Linked DNA regions of Tamandua tetradactyla. The protein of the gene in region 3 interacts with the protein of the main gene of each other region in a pairwise test. Links are inferred from orthologs where the notes say so. Each region holds a gene or a part of one and is shown on either strand. Other genes may lie near its edges.

Region 1 (7,756 bases), on a different chromosome or scaffold from region 3:
GCCATCTGCAAAGCATGATTCTCTTTCCAGGAGGTCCATCCTGACTCTGACCACCACTGGATGCCAGCCCAGGAGACATATCCCAGGCACTTGGCTGGGGAACCTCCCATTACACATTAATAGCTCTAGTTTGAGTTTGAAGGAAGACAAAGTTGAGATGTTACTGTTGAGGTTTCCATGTTATTTCTGAGCCACAAACATTCGTAGCAGCCCCATTCCTCAAGAAGGCAGAAAGCAAGGTAGCCTGGGGCAAGAAAACCTGGGTTTTTGAGTCTGAGAGGCCCATTTCCAACCTGGGCTCAGCCAGTCCTTGCCTGTGTGACAGCAGGCGAGCCACTTGCCCTCTCTGGGCTCAGCTTCCCTGCCCTGCAGTGAACGAGCTGATCCAAGGTCTGTGTGACACTGTGCATGTCAGGCCTCAGTCCCCTCCCATGTGAAGGGGCATAACCAGACTCCGAATTAAACGGGGCTGGTATGACAGTCAAGCAAGATGATACAGGGAAAGCACAGGGCACAGCCCAGCACTTAGGACCCAAACAGAGAGGCCATGCCAAGTGCCTCCTCCACCATCATAATCTAACGTGACTATAGTGAGTGCAAGGTTCCTCATAGGACTTTATGCCCATTTTCAACTTGACAGCTTAGAGGCAAGGCCCAAAGTCTATGTGACCCCAGTGGTCCCTTCCCTCTCCACCCTCAACCCCACTGCACAAAAGCAGGTGCACATCAGCTTTCTTGAGGGAGGGAGGAAGAGGATAAGGAGGAGGGAGAAACAGACCCATCACCCAAGAGACACATCCTGCTGCCCCCAAACTGGATGATGGAGCTCCCTTGTCTGAAGCACCACACATGGTGGAAGCAGAAGACAGGGGTGGGGAAGGACAAGAGAGAGGGGGCAGGAGTGGTGGAATACAGCGCCCCGACTCTCTGTTCAATCCAACCAAGCCTTTTGCCACACTGGTGTTTTAACACTCAATACCTGGGTGCACAGGCGGTTCAGTGGTAGAATGCTCACCTGCCATCCAGGAGACAGGGTTCGATTCCCGGCCCATGAACCACTACCCACCCCTTCCCATTCCCCCCCCCCCCCCCCAAATACCCAACAACTACCTGGTGTTTTTCCTTCTCTTTACATGAAGTTTCACCACAGTGCTAGGAGATCGCAAAAGTCAGTGCCTAGCATATAGCAGGTGCTTAAGAAAACACTGCTGGTGAGGGTTTTCCTCATAGTTGAGGAAAGGAGGCTCAGCGAGGTTAGATGACGTGCAAAGTAAATCTCCCTGTTAGGAAATGGTCATGCTAGGGTTCGAGCCCATACCTCTTTCCTCCAAAGGCAAAGAGAATCAGACCACGAGCATAAGCTCTGCAAGGAGACCGGACTTGGTTTAACTCTGAACCTTTCTACTTCATTACTGGTGGTGTGATCTTCTGTTACTTAGCCTCTCTGAGCCTTCTCTTTCCCATCTTCATCATCAGGGCCAAGGCAAAGGTTAGAAGTCATGTGTGTTACATGCCCAGCACAGAATAGGTACTACACTGTTGACACTGTTGTGCCAGCCCCTCCACAACACTGCCTAGCAGACCATAGGCTTGCTGTGTGACCTTGGGTGAGTTGCTTCCCCTCTCTGAGCCTCACTGCAGCCACCTGTAAGATGACTCCCTTAGACATGCCCACCTGGTCCCTGGCCCTAATCCTCACTTAAACTGATCTGACTGCACACACCTACCACACCCCACACCAGGGCTGGCCCCCCGAGGCCACATACCTTAAAGCCTTCTGGGGTCACCTGGCCCTTCTGAAAGTTTTTCATGAACTCCGCATTCTCCGCCTGCTGATGCACCTCCTTGGTGGCATCCTTCAAGGCCTCTGACAAATCCTGGGGCATGCTGCAAAGGGAAGGAAGGGAGGGTGAACAAGGGGACGGCAGGCTTCTTCCCATGCAACTGGCTTCCCTAACACCCAGGCCACATTCCCGACCGCCCTCACAGGCAGCCCCTAAACACCAGCCAAGGGCAGAGCTCCTGTCACCTGTGATTCCCCATGAAGGAGAGAGGACGGCACAGAGAAGCAGCAGCGGGTAGTGTGACCACACTCATGGCCCACAGTTCAATTGCTTTGCCTGGCTTTTCGACCCAATGTCTAATTCATTCATTTTGTCAAAGTTTCAGATATACATTTCAGGAACTTTCTATAATGTTATCACTGTAACATTTATCGTAATACAAGTGTTTGGGTTAAAAAGATTGAGAACTGAGTAAATCATGGAAAGGTTCCTTTCCGGGAGTAATTCTGCCATGTGTCCATATCTGCCCCACCCCTAGAATCTGCACCCCACAACATCAACCTCCCTTCTACACATGCTGGTTAAACTCTTCACAGCTTGGGAGAAGGAAATAAGCAGAGACCTGCAGATGTATAGAGCAGCTTTCAATCCCAGATCCCCCACCTGCTACCGGGGATGGGGAGGGAGCGTCGGTTTTGCCCCTCTGCGAAAGTGATGTCTTAACTCAGATGCTCAACAGCAGGAGAAGAGGGCAAACACCACGTGGGTGAAAACCAAGAGCTTCTCACCCAGGCTTGGGTAGCCCCAAGGATCTTGGATTAATCAGGGAGTCCCTCCCAACACCCTGGAAAGCCGGACCCCCACTCTCCACAGAGACTCCTTGTCTTGAAGCCGGCCCTCGAAGCCACCCCACCGGCCCTGCTAGGAAGTGACACCGGCAAGATTTGAACCCCAGCCCTCCCTGACCCGACCCCGCCACCCGCCGCCGGAGCTGGCTAGGTTTCCGCCGAGCGCCTGTTGAAAACCTAAAGGGAGAGGGCAGGGGGCGCTCGGCAGTCCCGCGCCAGCAAAGGGAGCCCCTCCCGCCGTCCCGCGCTTGCCTGCCCGGCTGCGGGCGCTCCATCGGGCGGGTGGCGCTCGGGTAGCTCGGTGCTGGCTGCGCTGCGCGGGCGGCGCCTACCGACGCGTCTCCAATCCTGCGGAAGGGGTGAGCGAGTGTGCAGGGCCCCGACCGCGCCGTCCGATTTATGCTCCGGACGGGTCACGTGGGCCCGCCGGCGAAACAGCTGATCCGCGCTTTTCTGGCCCGACGTTGCAACACCCGCGCTGGGTCCGCGCCCGTCCCGGTCCTGGCTCGCGGTGGAAGGGTGGGCGAGGGGGGGCGCCGGAGCCGTCATATGACCCTTGGAAAACAAAGCTGGGCCACCGGATGTGTTTAAAAAAGAAAGCACTCTTCAGGAAATCTCTGAGCAGCTGCTCGGCTCTGAGTGCGATTTTGCCCTTTCCAGATACCCGTACCCACCCCTCCCACCCCACCCCTCACCCCCCCCACCCCAGTGATGGTACTTCACGCATTCCCAGGAATCTCGAAGGTTCCAGAGTTCTGGGAGGGGGTGGGGGGAGGGGAACGGGGCAGCGCTTAGAAGCAACATCAGAGAATTACGGTCTCCACCTCCCTTGCTTTGGGGACCTGCATCCTAAAATGTCGCCGCCGGGTAAAGCCTGCTTTCTTACAATCCCTTTAAATGTGTACGTAGGACCTGTGTCTTGGGCAGTTACGAAACGCTAGAGTCTGTACCGTTTTCCTGGTTCATCCCTACCACAGTCCTATGACTGTAGAGGCTCCCATTTTACGTAGAGGCACGCATGGGGTGGGACCGCACAGGTAAGCAGGAATCCTGGATCCAGACCAGGAGTGACTGCAACCTCTTAGCCTGGGCCCCCAGGTTCCCTTCTCTCTTGGTCCAGAGTCCACTGCGATGCTTGGCATGCATACTGCCTGTCTGCTTGCATACTTGGGGTGCTCTGGCAGGTCAATACCCGGGTCTGACTCACCTCTTATCCCCAGTGCCCTTGCCAGGGCAAGGAATGGAGACGGCACCCACTTTGAGTTAATTCTCCATGAATTAGGACCGAGAGCTAGAAAAGGATCACTGACCAGACAGATGAACTGGCTGATTCTTAAAGTCCTTTCCCAAAGCCACAATTCGGGATTCTAACTCATAAAAGGAGGTGACTTTGGCTCATGACAAAGGTGTTGTTTGAAAATGGAGGTGGCAGGTACCACCCTTGAAGAAATGCAAGTACAGATTGGTCAAGCAGGCATTCTCCAGCAGGGAGGCTGGCATGGCTGATTCTGGCAGTCCGCTCCAGCCACACACATCTGGGAGTCTCTGATGCCAGCAGATAGTCTGGGAGAATGGGGCAGGTTTGGGTAGACAGTGGGTCCCTGTAATCAAAAGAAGCCAGAGTTCCAGCCCATGATCCCTCCCTCCTCTTCCAGGGATACTTCCCTGAGCTTCAGTCACCAAATCAGTCCAGCAACATGGAGGCCGCTGAACCTTCTAGAAAGATGGGCTGTACCAAGGAGCCAGGTGGTTTGGGAGAACTGATCAAGGCAGTACATCCCTCTCTTTTCTTGGGCCCTGAGGCCTTGAGCCCCTGTGCAGGATCTGTGAGCAAATAACCACTTCTGCTTCTATGGAAAATGATAATGATAATAATCATTGAGCACCTGCTGTGTGCCAGATACCATTCTAAGACTTATGCATATGAACTCACTTATCCTCACAATAACCCCATAAGGCTGCTACTGTTACTATCCCTATTTTATAGATGAGAAAGCTGAGGCAGAGAGATTGAGCTAGAGAACTAAACACAGAAAGTCTGATGTTTAATCCAGATTTGAATAGTACAGCAAACAGACCAGGCTGCCAGGGCACATCTATTTATTGAGCACTTACTATATGTCAGGCACTCTTTTAGGGGCTGGAGATACACGACTGAACAAAACAAGATACTTGCCCTTGCGGAGTTTATATTCTGGCAGGAGAATTAAACAATAAGCAATAGACACAATAGAGATGTGAATTATGTAGTATGTTAGAAGGTGTTGAGTACTATGGAAAAAACAGGGTAGGGTAAGGGTGATCAGGAGTGCTTGGAGGGATGGGTTACAATTTTAAATCAAGTAGTTAGGGTGGGCTTCCCAGGGTGGGGGTGAGGGAGAGAAGGAGGGGTCTTAGTTTGCTAAGGCCACTGTAACAAAGTACCATGGATTGGTTGGCTTAAACAATAGGAATTTATTGTCTCAGATTTGGAAGCTAGAAGTCCCAAGTACTTTTTTCCAAAGTCTGTAGTGTTCTTGTGATAGCTTGCTGGCAGTCTGTAACTCAGTCTCTGCTCTGTCCCATGGCCGTCTGTCTTCCCAGATATTTCCTCCTGACTTTGTCAAATTTTCCCTGCTTTCAAGGACTCCGGTCTTACTGGATTCAGGCCCACCCTGACTCATTTTGGGCCAAACTCCCCTTAACTAATAACATCTTCAAAGAGCCTGTTTACAAATGGGTTCATGCCCACAGGTCCAGAGGTTGAACATGTCTTTGTGGAAGACAAGATTCCATCTGTAACAGCAGCCTTTTGGACATCTGGGGGGAGAGAGAGAGAAGTGGGACAAAGGTCCCAAGGCAGAACATGCCTGGCATGGACAAGATGCTGCAAAGAGGTCAGTGGGCCCGGAGCAGAAAGGGTGAGGGGATGGGGCAGGGGAGAGATGGGGGGACAGGGCCCTGTATACGTGGAGGCGCCCATAGGGCCTTGCATTGCCAGGACCTCTTGTGAGATGGTGGGACTGCAGAGTTTTGAGCAGAGACTTGATAGGATCTGACATACATTTTCATGGGATTACTGCTGGTCACTGAGGGCAGAAGAGAGGAGAGAAGGCCAATGGTAGACGGCTACCTACTACAATAGTCCAGGTGAGAGAGGATGATGGCGGAGTCAGGAGTGAGTGAGAAGTGGCTTTAGACCTACATATTATAAAGATGGCGTCACCAAGATTTTCAGACAGATAGGATGTGGGTTGTGAGAGAGAAAGAGGAGTCCAGAATAACTTCCAAATTTTGGATTCAAGCAACTGGGAAGATGGAGTTGACAATTTACTGAGATGGGGAAGAGCAGGTTTGGGGGAAGCTCAGCGGTTTAGTTTTGGAATGTTAATTTTGAGATGTACAGGGCTTTGTAAAAGTGTAAAGACTTGGAAATAAGAGGTTTCTGCCTGTTTCTAGAAGTTTCATTTCCTCTTGCCTGCTGTTAAAGCTGCCCTTTCACCGACCACCCAGAGAGGCTGAGGAAGCAGCTGTGACTCAGCAAAATCCTCCTTCCCTTTGTCTCCACAAGTTCCCCCTCCCAACCATGACACAGCAGAAAACTCAACTCCACAAGGGAAATGTGGAAATCTCGACTCAGCACTCCGCGGCACCGCCTGAAAAACAGAAGTTGTTTGGGCTGCAGGGAGGGGGCCAAGGCTGTGGCTCCAAAGATTCTAATGGTGAAAAACAAAGGCAAGGCCATAGCTGAGGCTGGAGGTGCAGGGGTGAGGGTGGGTGGGTAGTTGTGTGTGTGTGTGTGTGTGTGTGTGTGTGTGTGTGTGTGTGTGTGTGTGTGTGTGTGTGTGTGTGTGTGGTAGGCAGTCTCTGGCTTGAGTATCCTCTGTAAGGGATGTCTCAGATAAACAAGATCACAGAGGGTGTCCTGACTGCATCCATGCCCCACCCTCCACAGGCCCAGAGAGGCTATGCCCTTGACTCAGCAGGGCAGGGGGCTCCCGAGGAGATCTGCGGCCTTCCTCAGCAAGTAGACAAGCTCAAATCATTAAAAAAAAAAAAACATACACAGACAGGAGTGCAAAACACTGAATTCTTCTCAACACACTACTTATGGGAGATGGGGGGAGCTGGGGGGAGCTGGGGGAGCTGAATCCTTACCCAGAAGAAAGCTGGCCCTGACCAAACAATTTTCCATTCTTTACCTTGATAACTCCTCCAAATTGCCCGCATTTTGCAGATTAGGCAAAGGTGGTGACTGCACAGGTGACGTACTTCAGTGTTTCCCCAGTGCCTTTGAGATAAAGTGCAAGCTCCTGAGCCTGGCACACCTGGGCCTTGGCGACCTGGCCCTGCCCACCTCTCCAGCGGGAGAGAGCTCACCACACCTGCTCCCTCCCACCATGTGTGCCAGCCGCAGAGAACCCTCTGCCACACTTGGCAAAAGCCGGGTACCCCGCTGGGCCTTTTGCTCAGGTGGCTCCACCTGCCTAGAATGTCCTTTCTCTGCTTCTGCCAGACTCAGATTCATCTTTCCAGACCCAACTCAGAAACGGATCATTGTCATAAATGAAAGAGCTAAACCTAAACCTATAAAACTTATGGGCCAAATCATAAAAGAAAATTTTAGTGACCCTAGGTTTAGTGAAGATTTCTTAAATACAATACAAGAAGCATGTAAAGAAAGGAAAAAATGCAATAAATTGGGCTTTGTCAAAATTTAAAGATTGTGCTGTTCAAAAGATACTGTTATAAAATATAAGAAAGACACAACCCACAGACTGGGAAGAAAAAATTTTTAAAACATATATCTGGCAAAGGAATTGTATCTAGAATGTACAAAGAATTCATTCAATTTGATTCAAAGACAAACAAGCAAATGAAAAAAATTTTGAACTGACAGTTCACCAAAAAAGAGAGAACAATGGCAATTAAGCATATGTAAATGTATGCAGCCTCACAGGTCATTAGGCAAATACAGGTTAAAACCATAAGGATACTGGGGTGTGAGGGTAGTTCAGTGGTAGAGTTCTCACCTGCCATGTGGGAGGTCTGGGTTCAATTCCCCACCCAGGCACTTCCCCAAAACAAAAACAAACAAAAATAAAAATTCAACAAATGGTGCTGCAGTATCAGGATACTCACATA
Region 2 (6,951 bases), on a different chromosome or scaffold from region 3:
AAAATGCTCATAATGACTTCACCGGTCACCAATATACACTTGGCTGGAAGACTAGTTGGGAGAGAAGTAGACATTCTTGACCACGTCGGTCAAACTATGGTAACAATACGATTTCGTTTATGCTCAACTATATTAATATCAGGATTCAGTTTATCACACATTGCCCTGTTTCACTACTCCACAACAACTTTTTAAACCAGTTTTTTTCTCTTAAAAAATTTATTAGAGAAGTTATAAGATTGCAAAACAATCATGCATAAAGTACAGGATTCCTGTACACTACCCCACCACCAACTTGCATTGGTGTGGAACGTTTGTTACTATTAATGATAGCACTTTTTTTTATGATTGTACTATTTCTTTTTTAACAGTAGGTACTCTCCATGCTCTTTTATATGTTTAAACCAGTTTTGAGCTTTTAAAGGCACCACTGTTTCATGTCCACTCACTGAAGAAAGAGCTTACAGCCTTGATGGTGGTGATTTGAATGATGCCTTTTAGGTCCAGTCATTCCCATCATTTAGTGAGAAGTTCAAAGCTGTCGTATCTTTTTTTTTTTTTTTTTTTTTTACCTCAGATTCCCCCCTCACCACTCAAAATAACTGCATATTTATCTTTCCAGCCTCCTTTGCCCCTCTGTGTGAGCTCCTCAGCACCTCTCCTTCCATCATGAATTTATTCCTTCAAAGAAATTGCTCCTTCCTTGCATCTTGAGTCTCTTACTCTATTTGTGGTGTGATGTAGCAGAAAGAGCTAATCCCAACGCTGTTTTGTTTGCTACTAGAAATTTAGGAGAATATTTGCCTTACCCATTTCATGGCATTATTTTAAGAACATGAGAGAATCTGCAAGTTATAAAGTACTGAAGGATCATAAAGACTAATTGTGACTACTGGATCCTTCTTCTGTGACTAACATGTGCTGTAGTGTCCCCAATTCCAAAGCCCACTTCCTTTAATCAAGCCAAGTCCTTGGCCACTGCCCCGTCTCCCCTCTCCTTTAATCCCAGTTTCTTCAGAGCTTAGCATTCTACTCTCTTCCTCCACTTCTCCACCACCCACTCCAGTCTTGCACACTTTGCTCATAATTTCTGCTGGAACCACTTAACTAGAACCACTGTCCTCAAGCCTTCCTGTGCAAAGACGATATAGTACTTTCTCAAGCATCACCCCTCAGATTGACTTACTTCTACTCTGTTCATTACCTGGACTTAAAAAGTTGGAACGTTATTTCACTCCAGCTCCTTCATCTTCCAAGTTCAACCAATTGCCAAGTCATGCCATGTCCACCTCTGCAATGTACCTTGCACCTGGATGTTTATTTCCACTTCTAGCATCACCCTGTGAGTTTGATTCTCATTTCCTCATTCTTAGCACACAAGTCTTATTCTTCTGCTTTCAGTTTCTCTCTTTTCGAATCCATCTTCCACGTGACAGCTAAGATCAACCTCCATAAAGTACTGCTCCAGTCATGCTCTTCCTGAGTCTGAACTGTCAGTGACCTGCCGTTCCTACTGGAGAAACATCTTACCTAGCCACTCAACACAGTCACAGTTCAATTCTACCATAACTTTCCAAGCTCATAGCCACTGCTCTCCCACCCCATTACACAAAGCCATTGCAGAGTCTTCTCTACTCTGATGCCTCTGAAATTTGACAGACTCCTCCCCTCCACCCCCATCAGTTTCAGTCTCCCCATTTGTCATTCCCATCACCTGAGACCTCCATATAGTGCCTAGACCTGTTTTCTTCCCTTGATTTTGAGAACTTCTACTTCAAAGCTCAAAGCTCTTTACGTCCTCTATTTGTCAACTGTTTTCTTCCTTTTGTCATATCTTAGCTCCTCTAAAGGAGTGTGACTTCTTCCAAGCACCTTGTTTCCCAGGAGTACATGCTATGAGCTCAGAACACCTTCAATGGAACATTAAATTGAATTACTTTCACGGGGGCAGGTTTGCAAATGCTCAGGGTGCCAGGTCAAAAGGAGGTAATTTCACCTCACCTGGTGGTCAGTGCAAGCAAGCAATTGTATGGGAAACAGGGAAGGGGAATCATGGATTCAGGAAATGGTTGTGATACAGTTAAAATCCGTCTTTGTTGCCTTTCAAAAGAACTTCTTATCTCCATTGCTTACTCACTTTCTAAGCTTCTTATGCGATCAATCAGAGGTAGGCTAATGTGCTTAGTTTGGTACCGATCCCTCTAGAAAATGTTTAAAGGCCTTTAAAACAAAAGTTATGCAGTGGAGATATTTTCATTATAACCATGACTAATTACTTTCCTATTTGGTACCAGGTAGTTCTCAGAATGGCAGGATTTTAGTTCATGTAACCTTCATAGTACATTTATTTCCCCCATTGTTTGGATTAGGCACCTAGAGGTTTAGTAATTTGTCTATGATTGTATGGCTAATAAGCAGTGGAGCTGAAGTCCGAACACAGCAGGTTAGAAGCCGTCCTTTAATGACCTGCCATCATCTACTACCTTTGTAGAGTGATGCTTGGTAGGCCGCCCAGGGAAATTCTTGAGGGAGAGAGTGGTTAAAGGAGTGGGTGGGCAATGAGTCTTGGTATCACCCTTCAAATCATGAAACCATCAGCAAAACCTGACCAGAGAAACCCCAGGATGAAAGCTGAGCATCGAAAGGCTCTGAACAACCTAATTATGCCTCATCCATTTCATTTAAAGGAAACAAATTCATTCCTTACCTGCTACTCCAAGGCCTCAGGGCTCGAGGGCTGATCTGGAAGCTGGATGCAGAGATCAGTTGGTGCTGTCAGATTCTCAAGACGTGGGGAGGGCAAATGAGATAGGCCAGACCTGGGGCTGGGATCTCTGATAGATACCAGGTGACGGGAAATCAGGAGCTTCTGTTACCTTGGGCTTCACCCCAATTACTTTGGTTGAACACACACTTACCAGGGCCGAAGGAGATACAAAAAAGTTTCTGCATTACCAGGAGGTTTCAGTTCTTGAAAAAGACCCCAGGGGACAGCCTGACAAGTATCGTGCTGCCTTAATTAGAAGAACTTTGCAGCCCCCACCCTGTAAACAGGTGTGGATGGTGGGTCCCCAAGGGCAAGAAGGGTGCTACAAATTCCCCATAGATGAGTTGATAGGGCTGATTTTTACCTTATTTCACTTTTTGGGTGAGTACGTGGGGAGGAGGCATCCATGCGGATAGACTTAAGACTCAATGAGCACATACATTTGGGGGTGTTGTACCTTTTGACCTCCAAATATTACCCTCATTTGTTCACACTTATTTGGATTCTAGTGGGACCATGTATATCTTACGATGGATTTAGCAGAAATGGCCCCAAAATACACGTGGGGGTTGTAGAACATCTACCCAGAAGTTTGAGCCAAGAGCTTGCCTCCACCTTTTGGGACATAAATTGAAATGGTACCTTTACTTATTACCCATCCTTTCCCTCTGTCTAGTTCTTTGGTGTCCCTATTCTTTTCTGCCTCAGTTGGTGCCCTATGGCAATCAAACGCAGTGCTAGCTCAAGGCAGGTGGGGAGCGGGGTAGTAGTAGTCTGGGGAGTCGATATATTTAAAGAAAGTTTTGCCCAAAGACATTGCTATTCCCCTCATCCTTGCAAATGTAACCCTTCATATGCTGGATTTTTTTTTTCATCTCTTTAATTTTCCTTATCCATTGCTTTATTTTGAAGAGATCCAGGGCCATAATTAGGTAATTATTTGCCTAAAATAGGGCTCTAATCTGAGGTAAATTCATCTTTCTTTTTCTCAAGTGCTCTCTCTCATTCTCTCTTTCCCTTTCTCCTTCTTGCCTCTCTTTTCTTTGAAACAGTTTGGAACCACAGGATTAGAACCAATGGGTATAAGAAGTTCTGGTTCTGGGGAGGCTGATTTTGTTGCAACATAAAAAAATATGCCATCTCTGCCCCATTAGGAGCTGTTCACTGGTGGAAGAGGCTACGCTTCAGACAGACAACTCACCGTCTTCAGGAACAGTCAAGTAAAACCCATGAAAACACCTCTCGGAAATGCTGTGGAGAGAATGGGGTGGTGGTGGAAAAAGAAGGCCCACCGTCCTCTTAAAGTGGCCTAAGTGTGGATCTGTGAGTGTCTCCACAGGGTCGGAGTGATAGATGATTGTGATGGCCGAAGTGTGAGTCCCGGATGGTGGGTTGGGTTGATCAAAGGCATGGGCCTGCCTTTTAGTGGGCAGGTGGGCAGGGTCAGAGCTTAGCAAATGCATGGCATGGATGAGGCATGAGTTGGGATCTTACAACCTGTTGGTTCAGATCTTTTTCTCTGTTCAGCCTTGTTTCCCTCCAGTCAGCCTTTGGTTGCTGACTCGTCTTTGTGGCCAGCAAGATTCTTTAGGTGGGTCTATGTAAGATTTATCCCAAAATAGGTATATTAATAAACTTTTGTTTTCTTTTTGCTGATTTTGACTGATTGACCTTTCAGTCCTTAAAACTTCTGTGTTTGTGTGTGTTGTAACTCCTACTAAAATTTGGATTTGTCATAGCTCCTTCTTTGTTCTATGATTTTTGTTTCCTCTGTAATGTTTGAGGCTATTAGGTCCATAACACATTAAACATTTTTCTCTTTGAATTTAATATGAATTGAATTTGCCATTATCTAGTGACCCTCTCTTTCCCAAGTGGTGGTCTCTATGAAAGTCTACGTAGAAATATGCCAACTATTGTGTAGTCAGTATATGCCTGATAGAACTATTTCTTCCTTTTATTTCCCCTCCTAGAATTCCAAGTTTTTTTCCCCCTTGGAACATTTTCCTCTCTTATGGAAACCAACATAGTCTATCTAATTATGTTTATTTGTCATTGCCTTACTCATCCATTGGTCTCCACATCGTTGGGAAACAGGGCAGGTTTTTCTGATTTCTTTGTTCTCAAACAGTGCTATCAGAGATAATGATTCTGCTTTGGTTCCTTCTCCCATCCATGCTGTCCAGTATTAGGCAGTAACATTTTGGTCTGTCTCTAACTGCTCAATAAAGCACACGTACCCAAAATGACCTGCTGATGGAGGGTACACTTTGGTTTCAGAGAGTTGGGAAGGGAGAATGCAGGGCCTCTGAGTGGTAAGACTGCGTCTAATTGCAAATAGAATTGGTTGCAGGCCAAACAATTCCAGTGCTGTACTTGCAAATAATTCATATGAAGGAAAATGTGCATGCAAGTACTTAAGAGCTTTATAGATCATGAACTCTTCTTTCTGCTCTCTGAAGGACTCCCTTAAATCCTTAACAGTTAGGAAATAACTTTAGTTGAATACCTACTGTCCATATGAAAGTCTTAAAAGAGTTATAGTATCACTTCTTTTTTAGTATTATTGAAACTAAAGAAATGAAAGTAACTGGTCCAGTCATACAGCGTATGAGCGATGTTTAGGAAGCAAAAGAACCTCAACTGTAACTAGAAAAAACAACTATTTCTTAAGTGACTTTTACATTCTAGGCACTGATAACATCACCTTACATATTGCATTTTAGGCTCACAGGAAACGCATTAAGAAGGTATCATTATTGCATTTTTATGCCAGGAATTGAAAGCTCCCAAACAGAAAGGCATCTGCTCAAGTCACAGTTTTAAATGGCAAAACCCATATTTATTATTATTATTATTATTATTTTTTTTTTGCATGGGCAGGCACCAGGAATCAAACCGAGGTCTCTGGCATGGCAGGCGAGAACTCTGCCATTGAGCCACCATGGCCTGCCCCGTATTATTTTTTAATAGACATTAATTTTTAAAGCAGTTTTAAGTTTTCAGAAAAATTGCACAGAAAGTACAGTGTTCCTACATGCTTCCCCCACCCTGCTGCATAGAGTTCCCTTTAGCATTACCTTGCATTAGTGTGGCATACTGGTTATAATTGATGACCTGATATTGATATGTTAGGACTAAACGTATCAATACGTTACTAAAGTCCAAAGTTGGCATAAGGGTTCACTCTTTTTGTTGTGCAGTTCTATGGGTTTTGACAAATGCCATCATGTCATTATATTCACCATTTCGGTATCATACAGAATAGTTTCAATGTCCTAAAAATGTTCTCCCACCTGTTCACCATCCTTGTCTCCTTCCCTCCCTCCCCCTGAGCTCCCGGCAACCAATGACTCTTAAACTGTCTGTATAGGGAAAACACATATTTAATTCTGTCTGCCTTAGAAGCTAATGGCTATTTGGTGAAAGGGCTCTCACCCATAAATTACCACCGACCCCATATATCAGAACTACTCGGTTGCTGAACATTTTTTTATCAGAGCCTTACTCCAATGCAAATTAAAAATTTAGTTTTTCTTCTAGTATCCCCCTTGTTTTCTTGTCCTCACACATGCACTTAGGTCTTTCTCCTTGCAGATTATAACAAACATAAAAGCCCATGCCTTAGTTTCTTTCTTTGTGTTGGCTAACAAGCAGTCTTAGTAGGATTTGGGATCAGAGGGATCGTGATTCAAACCCTAGTTCTACATTTTCCTCCCTTTGTGGTCTCCAAAAGTTACCCGCTGTGAGTGTCAGTTGTCGTGTCTGTGTCATGAAGCTATTTGTACTGCGTCAGAGGGTTGTGATGACAATTAAATGAGATTATGCAGGTAAGATCTCTAATAGTTAGCAGGTATTCAGTCAGTGGAAGGTAATATAATGTAGGGCAGAGGCTCTCAAGGTGTGGGCTGGGGTTTCCCTAGGGTCCTTGAGACATTTTATTTGTGTCTGTGAACTCAAAACTATTTTCATAATAATACTAAGATGTTGTTTGCGTTTTTTATTGTTTTACATTTTTTTTCACGAGTTTACATGGTGTTCTCCTCAGGCTACATAACTTGCGATATTGCAGCAGGTACCTACAGGGCAGGTATGAGAATCCATTTGTCTTCCATTAGAGTCAAGCTGTGGTTTCCAAACTTTGCTCTGCATTGCATTCACCTGTAGATTTTTTTAAACTACAG
Region 3 (7,181 bases):
TCCCAGGGAACTCCTCCTCCCTCAAGACATTCCTGAAATGCATTCCAAAGGAGTTGGGCAATTAGGGGGGAGGGTGAGATGGAGGATAAGAGGTCAAATCCCAGGAAGGAATGGAATGTAAGTGTATTGGGGGAAGGAATTTGGGGTACATGGAGAATACAGTCTGTGTAGATAACCACAAAGGGAGCCGCAGAAAGATAGGGGGTTACAGAAAGGGACAAAGGGGAAGAGAAAACTGAAGGCAGAGCCAGAAAGTAAGAGGGTTGGGGGAGTAATACTCAGTCTGTTACCAAATTTGGCCTCTGAGTCCACAACTGTGGTGGTGGTGGTGGGGGGGGGTTGTGGGTGAGACTGACATATCCGGCCTCAAGCTGCCGGAGGCTCTTTTAGAGCTGGACTGGGCAGCTGAAGGGCTGGGCCTGACCTCCCCAATACACATCCTCCCCGCATACACCCCTATCCCATGCACACTTCTCTTCCCCAAACACACCCCCATCACAGAGCTCTTTCTCACAAAGCTACCTCCATGGCGTCTCTTTGTATATCTGTTATCTCAGTCACCGAGCCCTGACTCAGATGCCACTGCAGCCATTTGATCTTTCCATAAAGACTCCATCCAATGCAAGCAACTTCCCCTCTAAATACACCCCATCTCAAGCACACAGCCCCCCTCCTCCCAACATCCTTTTTTCCTTTAGGTATACATTTTCCTTCATTCACCCAGTAAGCATTCTTCATTCACTCAGTAAGCATCCCCAATGTGGGGAAGGCCGAGGGCCAAAACTTTCAGTGGGTGGGAAGGGAGATGAGTAAGACAACAGCTTTGCCCTCTAGGAGCTCCCAGTCAAGAGGATGGATAAGTCAAGTACAGAATTACAATAAAGAGCAGGCTGTGATAAGAGCCATCTGATTAGGTTAGGGAAGGTGGATAGGAAAAGTCCCCATGAAAAAGTTGTCCTTTGAAGTTAGATTAAAAAATAATAATGATAATAAAAAATGATAACGATCTGTCATTTATTAACTATATGTTAACTGCTTTGTATACAAAATTTCATTTGATCCTTACATGTAACAACCCTGCAAGGCAGGCATCATCTCCATTTTGACAGATTATTAAACTGAGGTTCAAAGTGAAGTACTTGTTCAAAGAGCACTTGTCCAGAGTCACACAGCTAATAACTTGTAGAGCCATGATCTGAACCCAGGCTTTCTCCACTAGGCCACTGGAGATGGGTCAGGGGTAGCATTCCAGGCAGAAGGAAGAGCATATGCAAAAGTGGAGAAGCAGGAAATTGTGGAGGAGCATTCGGGGAAGTGAGCAGGTAGGCTGGTTGAAGCATGGGTGCCCGCAAGGGAGCAGTGGTGGGGAAGTTAGGGTTAGGATGGAAAGGCAGGGGAGGACAAGAGAGGATAATGAGGAGTTTTACATTCTGGAGGTTAACAGGAGGCCAGGGGAGGCTTTTGAGTAGAGAAGAGATACGATCAGGACTGGATTTTTAGGAACATAACTCTGGCAATTACCTAGGAGATTGGTTAGAGAGACACCATATTAGCAAATGTAAGTGATAATAAAGCCAAGATTAGAATGGTGGAGAGGAGGATGTCACTTTAAAGAAAGTTTAAGAGGTAGAACTGACAGGACCTGACAACAGTCTGTCCTGTCAATCTTATCAGACAAGGACTCACGGTTAGGCTGGAATTCCATAGCTTCCTGTCATTGGTAGTAGCATGAGATTAGGTAAGAAAATGGGAAGACGGAGGACAGATCAGGCTGGGCTGGGAATATGAGGATGAGGCTGTGGTTAGGGTGTATGGTTAGGCGGTGGGAAAAATGGATACGTGGTTAGTAGGCAGGTAGGGGCAGATGGGGTGTGGTCAGTGAATGCATCAATATGGGGAGGGAGAAGACTAGTGGTGATGACAATAGTAGGAAATATGAATATATGATCAGTCACTGGATCAGGCTGGGGCAAGGGGAGGAATGAATATGTGGGCAGTAGATGTCAGACTCAGAGAGAAAGATGGAGTGAGGTCAGAGGCCAGATCAGGCTAGAGAGGGTAGGGAAGAAATAAGGCTGTGGTTAGTGGCCAAATTAGGCTGGAGATGAGGGTGAAGGGACACTGGCTGTGGCTAAGAAAAGCTGGAGTTTGGGGGTGGAGTGTGGGGTATAGCCAGTGGCAGGGTCAGGCTGGGTATGGCATAGGGTTGTGGTCAGTGGCCGTGTCAGGCTGGGTGTGAAATGGGGGTGTGGTCAGTGGCCTGGCTGGGCGTGGGATCAGCAAGACCCAGTTTCCTCTTTGGGTCTCATTTCCTCTTTTCTGTTTGGGGAGTGGGGGAAGGGGATCTGCAAATGGACCAAGAAATTCAAGGAGGCTAAGAATTAAAGGATGGCACACAGCAGGGACTGGGGTGTTCAGCAGTTGCGTTGTGCTGAAAAAGGGTGGTATAGATGGAGTGGGTGAGAATGGGAGAAGAGTGCTTTAAAATGATGGGAAAGCTCAAGTTTTGGGGTGAGGGTAAAGTAAGGTCAGATGTGTGGATTAAGAAGGGGAGAGGGAAGCAGAATTAAGGTTGGGAACTTAAGTAAAATGAATAATAAGAGAGGGTTAAAGGCAAGGGAAGTATTCGTGTGAGGGAATGAAATGCAGGGCCAGGAATGACAGTTGGAGAGATTTAAAAAACATTTAGAGAATGAGAGGACAGTGAGAGGCAATGGGGTGAACTTTTGGGGGATTCAGCCATTCTCTTCACCAGGGCAACAGTGTTTCCTTGGCCGGCTTCTCCCTTAGTCACTAATCCCTTCTCCCTTAGTAGTCCCCCATTTATGATTTGGCTTTATACATTTCTTGGGCCTCTATCCCCACTCTACCTCCCTTCTTTTAAACAAAAGAGTCTAGGAACTCCAGTCCTCCAACTTTTAATGACCACAATACGAGCCCTGGTCTTAGAGGATGGGATAGAGATGCTGGAATCCTAGACACCTGCACTTCCAACTGAAGCCCAGAACTCTAGCTTGAATTTAGCCCAAGAAGCTCCCTGTGACTACAAAGGAATGAGACCTCTGCCCAAAACAAGGGCACCTACCTACCAAGAACTTCTTAAATTTCACCAGAACAAGTTCAACTACCCTGACCTCAACCATAACCGTAAAGTTGCCCCTAATTCCTAACATTAACCCCAACCCTAATTTATTTTTGATCCCCAGTACTGGCTTTGACATTCATCTCTTTCACAGCAGAGATGGTAACCCAATCCCTGATCTATAATACCGATCTGATTTTTACCTTTGGGAACCCCCTCAACCTTAACCCTAAATGTTGATCCCTAAACCTAAAGCTCATGTGTAACTTGATTCCTGACCCACTCCTTCACTGCTTATTCCTCATACCTAACCACGCCAACGATCTTTAATCCCTAAAATGTAGGTCTAACCTAATTCCCATTTGTTGACCCCTTAACTCTTAACTCTGACGTCTGCTAGCCATCCTAAAAAACAAAACCATGATCTTAATCTAAACCTTGCCTACAAACCGGACCTGACACATTAATAACTCTAAGTCTTAACTCCTAAAGCTAACCTTGAATCCTAAACCCTATGCCACTTAATACCAAACTCACCCAAAGCTTTCCTATCCACATAGCCGCTATCAACTAACCCCAAAGCCTATCCGCGCCCCGAGCTTCACTGCCAACCAAGTCCTCCCCCTCCCCCAAGCCCATCTCAGGAAAAGGACTGCTCCCAGGAAGGGCTTGGCTCCAGCAAACAGCCTACTTAGTTCTGAATCCAATGCGACATTCACTAACTGGAAGCTGACCTCTCCAAGAGGATCCGAAACAGGAGACGCAGGAAGAGTCAGCGGCCCCGCCCGCGCGCCAGCCCGCCTCCCAGGTCCAGCCTCGCGGCCCCACCCCGCCGTTCCCGCTCGGCCCCGTCCGGCCTACCTGCGCTGCCCGGCTCTGTGCCCCGCCCGCCGGCCCGCTACCCCGCTCTTTCTCCCGGTCGTTCTCGGGCTCCGGCCTCGCCCTCCCGCCGAGAGACACTCTCTCGATCACTTCCGTCCCCGGAAAGTCCCCCACCCGCGGGCGGCGCCCTGAGCCCGCGCTCTATGGTTGCGGGGACTGCAGGAAGCTGCTCTGGCGCCAGCTCTCGATGCTCGGCAGCCCGCCGAAGACGCGCAGCCCCTCCCCGGCAGGAAGCAAGGGTGCGGCGCGGTCGGACGAAAACGTCCGAACCGTGCCCAAGTTCCCTTTTAGTCTCTAACCCTTCCTTTTCTCGTTTTGGGCGAAGGCGGAGCCGGATCCCTAGAATCCCCGCCCCGTGGGTGTGAGGTGGCCAGCAGGAACGTCCGCTCTAGTTTGCATAGCCCCAGGGACGTGGCGCGGCCCCAAGGCCACTTCTGCATTGGGAGGAACTTCATGTCCCAGAATGCCATGAGGGCTATAAGCGTCACTTCTGTTGTGTTGGAAGCTGAAGAGAATCGGCTCTGGGAGGCGCGTCAGACTCTAGAGGGGAAAGCCCGGCGGAAAAGAAACCCTACGATATTTGGGGGAGGCATACTGGGCTGGAGGTTATTCCTGGGGCACGGGATTTGGGGCTGGGTAGATGGTCGAACCCCCCGTGGAAACCGATATGGACCTGGCGCTGGGCCCCGGTGACCAGGACCTGCTGGACTTCCTGCTAGAGGAAAGCGGAGATTTGGGGGCGGCGTCCGAGGAGGCCGCCGTGGAGGTTCCGGAGGAATGGGAGCTGCCACTCGCTGAGGTGGGTGAGAGTTCTGTGTCGGGGAGGCGCGGGCCGGAGGGGGAGGGGGGCATTCGTGAAGCAGAGATTTAGTAATCAGTCACAGCCCATTAATTTGAACCCTGTGCAGGTACTGAGCGAATGGGAGGTGGAGGATTTCCTGACCTCCCTGCTGAGCCCCCCACCATCGTTGAACGTTCTCAGCTTCTCCAACCTCTGTCCCGTTTACCATGATCACACCTACTCCCTCCCACAGGAATATAGCTCTGTAGATCTCGGTGAGTCTGAAATAAATGAAATTTGAGAGAGGAGAGGGCTCATGGACCTGGCTATTCTTACTTTCTTGTTTGCAGATAGTGGGAGCTGTGGAAAGAAGGGGCCCCAGATGACTCCATTGCAGGTGGAGGAGCAGGCAGAGCAGGTACTTGACTTATGGGAGGATTAATCCCAAATTGTATGGGGGGGGCAGGATTCCCCATTTTCTGACATCTTCATGCAACTCTGCTGCCCACCACCCCATAACCCCAGGAGATTGGTAGTCTGATACTGACCGATGAGGAGAAGAGGCTATTGGAGAAGGAGGGGTTTACTCTGCCTGGGACTCTTCCTCTCACTAAGGTAAGAGTCCTATAGGGAGCAAAGGCTTGTGGGGAGGGGACACTGTATGAGTGCCAAGCAGGTCAATCCTGTTAATTGTATTATCAGTAACTTGTAAAGGAACTGAGGTAAGAAATTTAGCAAATTTGTTGCTTGCAGGAAGCTGGGGCATGTAGTTAATATGCTAGAAATAAAAGCAGATGCTGATTTTGTGGGGTCTGAAGCTTATACAAATTTTGATGTTCTTTTTAAGAAAAAAATTCAAAATTATCAGTGCAACATTAGTATAAGGTCTCAGCAAAGACTGTGCCAAGTGAGGGGCCCTGAAACTTAGATATCTATGGCTTTATGGTAATCCACCTCTTGCTGAATGGTAGAATTGAGCTTTAGAATTTGACAAGGCTGAACTCAACAGTTTAACGAAAATAAATGTAAATTCTTGATTTTTAAGTTACAGGCAATGAGTGATAATTTCACAAGCACAACACTGTGATACAGTGATAAAATCAATGTTCATTGACAGAAAGATTAAGGGAATTTTAACTTCTTAAAAAAGTACAAGATGAGTCATTAACATGAAGTGGCTACTGAAAAATGAATGGGATCTGGAGACTCTATTGATAGGGGTGTTGCTCTCCTTAATTAGTGAAAGCATTTCTTAGTGTCCCGTTTGGAACCCAGATCATTGACAGTTATTAACAGGATGGAGTCCACCCTGAGGAGAGCAGGATGATGAAGAATTACACATTTTGAGCAAGTTTTACTTTTGTTTTTAACTCTGAGGAAGATTGTGAAGAAATGTCAAGTGCCAAATAGCTAAACATGGTTTATTCTACATGGTCCCAGATATCAGACACTAAAGCCCAATGGATAGAAATTAGGAGGCAGATGTTGGCTCAGGATAAGAAAGATTTTAAACTTGATCTGGGTTTGTGGGAGTATTAACATCTGACACTTGGAAGCATTCAGACAGAAGTCTAGTGCTTGTTGGTCAGGGACACTTTGGAAAAGGTTTCCTACATTGGGAAGAAGATTGAACTCATTTACTCTCTAACTCTATGGTTCCATGTTTCTCTGATGTTCCTTTCCTCTCTTCTCCCAGGTGGAGGAACAAGCTCTGAAACGAGTGCGGAGGAAGATTCGAAACAAAAAGTCTGCTCAAGAGAGTCGTAGAAAGAAGAAGATGTACGTGGGGGGTCTAGAAAGCAGGTATGAAGGGGAAAGGGACTCTGAGAGGAGTTGGGGGAGGAGAGATAGTTGGCTTTTGAAGGGAAGATACAGGCCATATGCTTGTCTTATTCCCCTAGGGTGCTGAAATGCACAGCCCAGAATCTGGAGCTAAAGAACAAAGTACAGCTCTTGGAGGAACAGAATCTGTAAGCAACCCTCCAGTATCAGTCCCTCCTCTCCTTCCCATTTAATGCTGTCTTTCCCCTGCGCCACACTTGATTTCTCACTGGGCAGCTCCCACATGTGAGGCTGGTACTTGGACTTCTCTTGGCTCTGATTCCAAGAAGCTTGCAGTAATGGGGAAATAAATTCAGAGTAACTAAGGATAAATAAGTACCAAGTAAGAGAAAGGAGGAAAGCAAGAAAGACCTCATGGGGCAGATGGCATTTAATAGGGAGTAGTATTCTGGGAGTAGTGAAAGCATTCTAGGCAGAGAGAATAAAACATAGTCCGGTTTGATTGGAACCGTAAAATGGTAGAGTTGGGACCAGAAGGTAGAGTGCAGGGAATGCCTGGTGAATATGATCTGCCTAGTTGATAGGGCATTAAAAAAAAACACTATAGGTATTTGCAAAGGAGTATAAGTCAGAGCAAGGCAGAGAGGTTTTTTT
Region 4 (7,936 bases), on a different chromosome or scaffold from region 3:
CTACAATTACCTGGGATTCCACCTTTGCATAAGTCATACCTAAATAAGGGAGTTAGGCAATCATTAAAGTTTCAAACCAAGTCTTAAGCCTAGCAGAGCCAGAGCCAGGACTTGAACCTTGGTCTGTTTGACTTCAAGGTCTGTCTCTTAACTGTCCCAGAAAAGAGATACCTAACTACTTTCCACCCACCACTATCAGTACAGCCTTCAATCAATTTCCCTTTCCCAATACTAAAGACAGATATCTAATTAGCTGACCCATTGAAAATAAAATTTTAAGCATATAATGGAATGATCAACTAGTTGCCTACTGTTCTTAGTGCAAGAAAATTGTTTAAGAAAATAACATTAACATTATAGTCATTAAGAAATCCTGTGTTAATCAAGCAGTGTGGACAACCAAAGCTACAGGCTGAGCCCCCAGTCTTGGGGTTTGTTTAACCCCAAAAGGATAGGTCAAGTCTACTTACAATTTAGGCCTAAGAGTCACCCCCAAGAGAGCCTCTTTCGTTGCTCAGATGTGGCCTCTCTCTCCAGCCAACATGATGAGCAGTCTCACCACCCTCCCCCTCTCTGCGTGGGACATGACTCCCATGGGTGTGGACCTTCCTGGCAACGTGGGACAGAGATCTTGGAATGAATGGAGACTCAGCGTCAAGGGACTGAGAAAAGCCCTAGAATGAGCTGAGAGTTAACATCAAGGGATTGAGAGAACCTTCTCGACCAAAAGGGGGAAGAGTGAAATGAGACTGTCAATGGCTGAGAGATTATCCTGAAGGTTATTCTTATGCATTAAGTATAGATATCACCTTGTTGTTCAAGATGTAGTGGAGAGGCTGGAGGGAACTGCCTGAAAATGTAGAGCTGTGCTCCAGTAGCCATATTTCTTGATGATGATTGAACAATGATATAGCTTTCACAATGTGTCTCTGTGAATGTGAAAATCTTGTGTCTGATGCTCCTTTTATATACCATATCAACAAAAGAGTAGAACATATGGAATAAAAATAAATAATAGGGGGAACAAATGTTAAAATAAATTTAGTTTGAAAGGCTAGTGGTAAATGAAAGTGAGGGGTAAGGGGTATGGTATGTATAACTTTTTTTTCTGTTATTGTTTTATCTCTTTTTCTGTTGTCTTTATTTCTTTTTCTAAATTAATGCAAATGTTCTAAGAAATGATGAATATGCAACTATGTGATGATATTAAGAATTAACTGATTATATATGTAGAATGGAATATCTTACTGTTTTGTTTGTTTGTTGTTAATTTTTTTTTTAATTAAAAAAAAAAAGAAATCCTGTGTTAAGACTGCTTTTCTCACTTGGGCAACTTCTTTTTTTGGCTTTTAAAGGGGGAATTTAATAAGTTGAAAAATATGGAACGCTTCACGAATTTGCATGTCATCCTTGAGTGCAGAGGCCATGCTAATCTCCTCTGTATCGTTCCAATTTTAGTACATGGAACCATATACTTTGTCGAAGTCAGCACCAATTAGAGTGGCTTTTATTTTATTTTATTTTTTGCATGGGCAGGCACTGGGAATCGAACCTGAGTCTCTGGCATGGCAGGTAAGAACTCTGCCTGCTGAGCCACCATGGCCTACCCTCACTTGGGCAACGTCTTAACATCAACTACAAACTTTCTTGAAAATGAAAAACAGCAGTAAAATTTGATGGGTCAAGAGTAACAAATTGTGTAAGACTGGCCTTACCCCTCCCCCACTGCCGAACAAGGAATTTTACAGTCTTTTGCTGGTGGGATGGGAGACAATGTAGAAATAGTGATACTCTGGTTAGTTCCTAAAGGTTGTATATATTTCCAGAAACTGATAACGGTCTGCACATTCTCTAAATAACCACATATATGTGATCAAAGAGTATTTTTTAACTCCTTCTACACAGCCTACTCTATTCATCAGCATGTATCTCCTCTTCCCCCGTGCTCATGCTGTGTTCTCTGAATTACCTTCTCTTCTCCATTTACTTTTCAAACTACTCATTCTTCAAAATCCAGCTCAAGTCTCTCCACTCACTGGAGCTCTCTCTCTTATGTCCCAGGCCACAGATGTGATCCATTTAGAGCTACCGTTGACCTATTTGGAAACACCGTATTTCCAAAGGAACTTTGGTGGCTGCGGTCTAGAAAAACTATGTGGGAGAAAAAAATGGTTTCCACCAGCAGTATTCATAAGGTTTGTCTAAAATGATACAGGGGCATCTCAAGAAAGAAATTTTGGAATCTCTAGAAGAATTGCTGGGGTATTATCTAACTGTCTGTTCTCCTGGTCTCCAAAGGGTAAACTAGCTCTATTCCCTAATGCAACCAATCTCTCAGCTATCTTCCAGCACTAAAATTAGGATTCTATAGTTCCAGCGACTAAATCACATTTCAAAATGTGGAGTATTCGGTAGATGTGAGGCCAAGTAAGACAGTGCCCTGTACCCTTGACTGAGTTATCCCGCGCACACAGTAGGCGTCCATTGGAAAGCAGCCTGTTGGACAAGCATCCTAACGCAGTACTCGCACTAGCCCCTTTCTGGCGCTGTATCACCTGGAAACAAAGCTAGGTAAAACACCCCAATTCACCCGGTCCAGACGCCCCCCGCGACGGGATAGGCACCGTGGTGCAGGGCAGTGACGCAGGAGCCGTGCCCACCTCGTTTTCTTCCCGGGGCCGGTCGAAGCCGTCGGCGCTGGCTCCCCACTGCCCCCAACGCCCCCGTCCAGTGACCCTGCAGCCCACCGCTCCTTCATCCCGCGGCTGTCCGCCTCTTACCCCTAGCCCCGGAATACTTACCATCCCAATACCAGGCCGGTGGTCACGATGAAGCAGGTAAAGACCACCGCGATGTAGAAAAGCGGGGAGTACTCATAGAGCGTCACCAGAAATACCGCGGCCATCAGGCTCCTCTCCTTCGCTGAGCCGGACTCCAGCGTCCAGCCCAGCCCATTGGGCCCGGGACACAGGCGCGACGGTGCCCCGGAGAGGACAAATTTTGTAGCTCGGTGCTAGCCTGGAGTTCTTGTAGGCTAGACTCGGGGTCAGCCCTTCGGAGCAGGCAGACCAATCAGGACGTCGCCTAAAGGGTACGCCACGCCCCTCTCGTCGGGTTCGCTACGCCACGCCCCTCTCTTTGGTTCGCTACGCCACGCCCCTTTCGTTGGTTCGCAAGCTCCTGCCCGGGCAGGGGGGCAGAGCCCCTACTTGTCCTGCCGGGGACTCCCGGGTTTGATATTCAGCAAGTGAGTTCTCGGCTAGTCTGCCCCGGCACAGTCCGAAATCCAAGTGCACCGATTTTAAATCCTGCATATTAGATTCCAGGCAAATTTGGGAGGAGGAGTCGGGTCAGCATCCGGGATTCTACAAAGTAAGATAACCCCACACCTGTTCTTGTGTTATCTGGAAGACTTACTAATAGGCACTATACAAAACAAAGAAACAAACAAAAGGAGTTTCTACCACAAGCAACTTATATAAGGGTTGTCGACCTTTTCAGATTGATTTAATGATAGAGGAAAAACAGCATTTCGTATCCAAGAGAATCACAAAAATAAATCAACTTTCCTCCCTCTTTTTCTCCTCCCCCTACATCCCTCAAATTAGAATTAGTCAGATATTTGAACATTTTTTGTATTCGTTTTCACTCTAATTTTTATATATCTGTCTATCTATCCATATATTTTTATGGATAATTTTTAACCAAGCAGAAGCTTTTAAGTATAGTAATTTACAAGAGAAATGTTCAACCATCCCCTTATCTGGGTTGAGTCAGCTGCATCTAGGTAGCCTTCTAGAAGTCCCTCATGAAACTTTCACTGACATCTCATTGGTTTCAGTTCAATCCCAAAGTCACACAGAGACCAGGAAATGTCTTTTATTCTGATCAGCAAAATCTACAAAGAGGGATTTTATTACCAAGGAAGAAAGGGAGAATGAACCTCAGGATAGGCAACTAGTAATGTCAGCCACACTCCCAAGTGACCAATAAAATTGATGGTGGGGTAGTAAGATGAGCTAAGTTTGTTCTGTGGCTTCACACGCTCCTTAGAAAATGATCATGTATTCAGTAGAGTTGCACTATGTAAGAAGCTTTCGTTCTATAACATTTCCCTTTTTTTTTTTTCTTTTTCTTTGCATGGACAGGAACCAGGAATCCAACCCAGGTATCTGGCATGGCAGGCGAGAATTCTGCCACTGAGCCACCGTCACATCACTTGGATTCTATAGCATTTTTAGTGATTACGTATCTAGCTTGTGAAAGTACTATAGTTGATTAAATCAACTCTCAATTGTTGGCCAATTTTTTTCATTGTTATAAACAACACTGTAATTAGCATCCTTAAAGCTAAATTATTTCCTTACTATAAATTCCTAGGATTCAAAAACTATGCACATATTAAAAATTCTGGAGAAATACTGCCCTTCAAAACTAATTTGCAGTCTCCACCTTTCATCCAAAATTTTGCCCTCATTTGCTATTGTCACTTAACAAAAATGTGGCCAATTTGAAAGGCAATTTTATTATAATAAAACAATAAAGAATTTCATAACATAAAATGTAGAGATTTCCAGGCTTAAGTGGTATATTAAATACCTGCACCTAATTTTGCACCCTTCCAAAATTCCACTAAAACTATAGCAAAGCATTTTTGTTTTTGTTTTTTTAATCAACAAAAACAAGAGCAGGAAACAAAATTACAGCAGCAACACACTGGAAGATGGAAAAAGATGGACAAAGACAATGCGCCAACCAGGCCATGAAAACCAAATTCCAAACCAGCAATATGAAAAACTGAGATCCAATCTGAAGAATTCTCAGAAAGAATAGGAACTGATACAACCCTAACTCAAGTCCTTGTCATTTCCCACTTGTAACTTGTCACCCTACTTCCGACATAGATTCTTTCTAAAGCATTCTGCACACTGCTGGCAAAAAATGATTTTCCATAATACATTATTGTGCTGGCTTGAAACTGTCGTGTACCCCAGAAAAGCCATGTTCTTTAATCCTCATTCAATATTGCTGGGTGGGATCTTTTTATTATTTCTATGAAGATGTGTCCCACCCAATTATGGATGGTAAGTTTTGATTAGATGGTTTCCATGGAGGTATATCTCCACCCATTCAAGGTGAGGTTGCTTACAGGAGTCCTTTAAGATGGAACCATTTTGGAAAAAGCTTTAGTGCTGACAGAGCCCACACAACCAAAGATCTTTGGACATGCAAAAGGAAAATACCCCTGGGGAAGGAAGCTATGAAATGAGGAAGAAAAGCTAGAAGACAGCACCACGTGCCTTACAGCTGACAGAGGTGTGCCAGATGGTATCAGCCTTTCTTGAGTGAAGGTAACCTTTCGTTGGTGCCTTAATTTAGACATTTTCATGGCCTTAGAACAGCAAACTTGCAACTTAATAAAATCACTTTTTAAAAGCCGCTCCATTTGTGGTATATTGCATTCCAGCAGCTTTGACAAACTAAAACAATTATCTGACAACACAGCTGAAAACCTTTGCATGTCACACTATATTTCCTTGAGAATGAAGGGCATACCCACCTCTACATGATCTGACTCCCACTTATTTCTCATTTATTAATTCAGGAAATATCCAAGTATCAGATATATGCCAGACACTGGAATAGGCACTAGGGAAACAATAATAAGCAAAAGTTGTTGTAAGTTGAACTGTGTTTCCCCTAAAAAATGTATGTTGATGTCCTAACCCCCATACCTATAAATATGACCTTATTTGGAAATAGGGTCATAAACAAATGGAATTTGTTCACTTCAAATGATGCCACCCTGGAGTAGGGCAGGCCATTAATCCACTATGACTGGTGTCTTTATAAGAAGGGGCGAGGATACCCAGACACACACAGAGAGAAGAATGTCATGTGACAACTGAGATAGACATTGAAGAGCAAGGATTGCCAGGAAACCACCAGAAGGTTGGAAGGAGTCTCCCCTATAAATATGACCTTATTTGGAAATAGGGTCATAAACAAATGGAACTGTGAGACAATAAATTTCTGTTTTAAGTCCTCCAATTTTTCATACTTTGTTACAGCAGCCCTAACAAACTAAGGCAATGGCATTTCCCTGTTCTCATGGAGCTTATTATCTAATAGAAAAGACTGGCATTAACCAAAGAATGTTGATGAAAATGTAAAGACAAAATTATAGTAAGAGCTATTAAATGGAGATTCATGGATCTATGAGAATATATAATGGGAGAACTAGTTGCCTTGGTGAGGTAGATCAGGGAAGTCTTCTCCGAAGAAAAGTTAGTTGAGCTGAGATCTGATAGTTTATCATGCAAAGGGACAGGAGGACAGAATAGCACTTAGAACAAAAGCTACAACACATGCCAGGAGACTGTGCAGGCCTCAGGTTATTTGGACAATTTAAATGAAAACATGGATATCAGTCCCAATCACACCCAATTTATATCAACAATATGAATGACAAAATTTAAACAGAAGAATTGAAGGATCCCTGTATGCCCTGTTTTCTCAGTTTGGCCATGTGGTAGATATGGTAGCTTTGAAGACTATGAGGACGAGGGGGCAGGTCTTCCATATACTTAAGGAACTGGGCTCATCCACAAACGCCTGGAGACAGTTACAAGGATTTCCATTTTATGGTAAACCAATGCAAATCCAGTATGCAAAATCAGATTCTGATACAATATCTAAAATACATGGCACATTTACTGACAAAGAAAAGAAAAAAGCCAAAACTGTGGAACAGACTGCAACAACTGCAAACAGAAAGTCTGGTCTGGGAACACCAAATTCAACCAACACCCAAGGAAATACAACACCAAATCCTCAGGTTCCTGATTATCCTCCAAATTCTATTTTAGTCCTTAATAACTTACCAGAAGAGACTAATAGGATGATGTTCTTCATGCTGTTTAATCAGTTACGTGGTTTTAAGGAAGTCCATTTGGTACCTCGAAGACATGACATTGCTTTGTTGAATTTGAAAATGACAGGCAGCCTTAATTTTGCACAATAAACTTTTATTTGTATAAATATATAAAAAAGCTGTAACACATGCAAAGGCATTGAGGTGGGAGAAACCACAGCAAACCCAAGAAATTGGAAGGCCAATGTCACTAAAGCCTGGATGGTGAGGAGGGGACTGGTACGAAGAGGGAGAGAGAGGTAGGACCCAGACTCTGCTGGAGTCTTGCCATTTTAATGAACTCAACTCGCCCTAAAAGTAATAAAAAAAGCCTCTAAGAGGGTTGAAGAAGAAGAGTGGAGATCAGTTTGCCTTTTGAATCAATCACTTTGGTTATTCTGTAGAAAACTGATGGGAAGGTCAGGAAGGACAGGAGTGAATGTGGGGGTATCAGTGAATAGACTCTTTTGAAAGTCAAGACAAAAAAATACCGATAACTCTGATTAGGATGGTAATGATGACTTGCAGCAAAGTAGACTGTTACTTAGAAATAATTTAATCTGTGAGTGACAGAAAGCCAAAAACAAGACTGTCTTAATCAAAATAGTTTTTTCCCCTTTCAGGTAAAAGTGCAAAGGTAGGTGTCATGGTCAGGTTCATGCGTTAACTTGGCCAAGTGGTGGTACCTGTTTGTCTAGTTGGGCAAGTGCTGGCCTGTCTGTTGCAATGAGGACATTTCATAGAATTAAATCATGATCACATCAGCTGCATCCACAGTTGATTCCATTTGTAATCAGCCAAAAGGGAGTGTTTTCTGCAATGAGTGATGCTTAATCTAATCACTGGAAGCCTTTTAAGGAGGATTCAGAAGAGACAGGCTCTCTTCCTGCTTCGGTTGGCGAGCCTCTCCTGTGGAGTTCATCCAGACCCTCCATTGGAATTGTCGGTTTCACAGCCTGCCCTATGGATTTAGGACTCTGTGTTCCCACAGTCACATGAGACACTTTTATAAACTTTATATTT

What was found.
Region 1: the proteins of CREB3 (region 3) and HMOX1 interact in a two-hybrid assay, tested with the Homo sapiens proteins (2 studies listed by BioGRID and IntAct). The two-hybrid records come from large-scale screens. The link is inferred for Tamandua tetradactyla from reciprocal best matches to the Homo sapiens genes CREB3 and HMOX1.
Region 2: the proteins of CREB3 (region 3) and MS4A1 interact in a two-hybrid assay, tested with the Homo sapiens proteins (2 studies listed by BioGRID and IntAct). The two-hybrid records come from large-scale screens. The link is inferred for Tamandua tetradactyla from reciprocal best matches to the Homo sapiens genes CREB3 and MS4A1.
Region 4: the proteins of CREB3 (region 3) and CGRRF1 interact in a two-hybrid assay, tested with the Homo sapiens proteins (2 studies listed by BioGRID and IntAct). The two-hybrid records come from large-scale screens. The link is inferred for Tamandua tetradactyla from reciprocal best matches to the Homo sapiens genes CREB3 and CGRRF1.

The regions. Positions count from the first base shown.
Region 1 is NC_135333.1:27,750,061-27,757,816, reverse strand, and holds the start of HMOX1 (heme oxygenase 1), read right to left. Parts: upstream 3,007-7,756; 5' UTR 2,908-3,006; coding exon 2,885-2,907; intron 1,888-2,884; coding exon 1,767-1,887; intron 1-1,766.
Region 2 is NC_135335.1:14,563,971-14,570,921, forward strand, and holds the start of MS4A1 (B-lymphocyte antigen CD20), read right to left. Parts: upstream 3,017-6,951; 5' UTR 2,708-3,016; intron 1,511-2,707; 5' UTR 1,205-1,510; intron 1-1,204. UniProt on the Homo sapiens protein: B-lymphocyte-specific membrane protein that plays a role in the regulation of cellular calcium influx necessary for the development, differentiation, and activation of B-lymphocytes.
Region 3 is NC_135328.1:60,057,207-60,064,387, reverse strand, and holds the start of CREB3 (cyclic AMP-responsive element-binding protein 3), read left to right. Parts: upstream 1-4,163; 5' UTR 4,164-4,604; coding exon 4,605-4,763; intron 4,764-4,848; coding exon 4,849-5,020; intron 5,021-5,095; coding exon 5,096-5,163; intron 5,164-5,270; coding exon 5,271-5,360; intron 5,361-6,441; coding exon 6,442-6,548; intron 6,549-6,646; coding exon 6,647-6,715; intron 6,716-7,181. UniProt on the Homo sapiens protein: Endoplasmic reticulum (ER)-bound sequence-specific transcription factor that directly binds DNA and activates transcription. Plays a role in the unfolded protein response (UPR), promoting cell survival versus ER stress-induced apoptotic cell death.
Region 4 is NC_135338.1:11,779,092-11,787,027, forward strand, and holds the start of CGRRF1 (cell growth regulator with RING finger domain protein 1), read right to left. Parts: upstream 3,017-7,936; 5' UTR 2,906-3,016; coding exon 2,802-2,905; intron 1,476-2,801; exon of another isoform or gene 1,374-1,475; intron 1-1,373. UniProt on the Homo sapiens protein: Able to inhibit growth in several cell lines.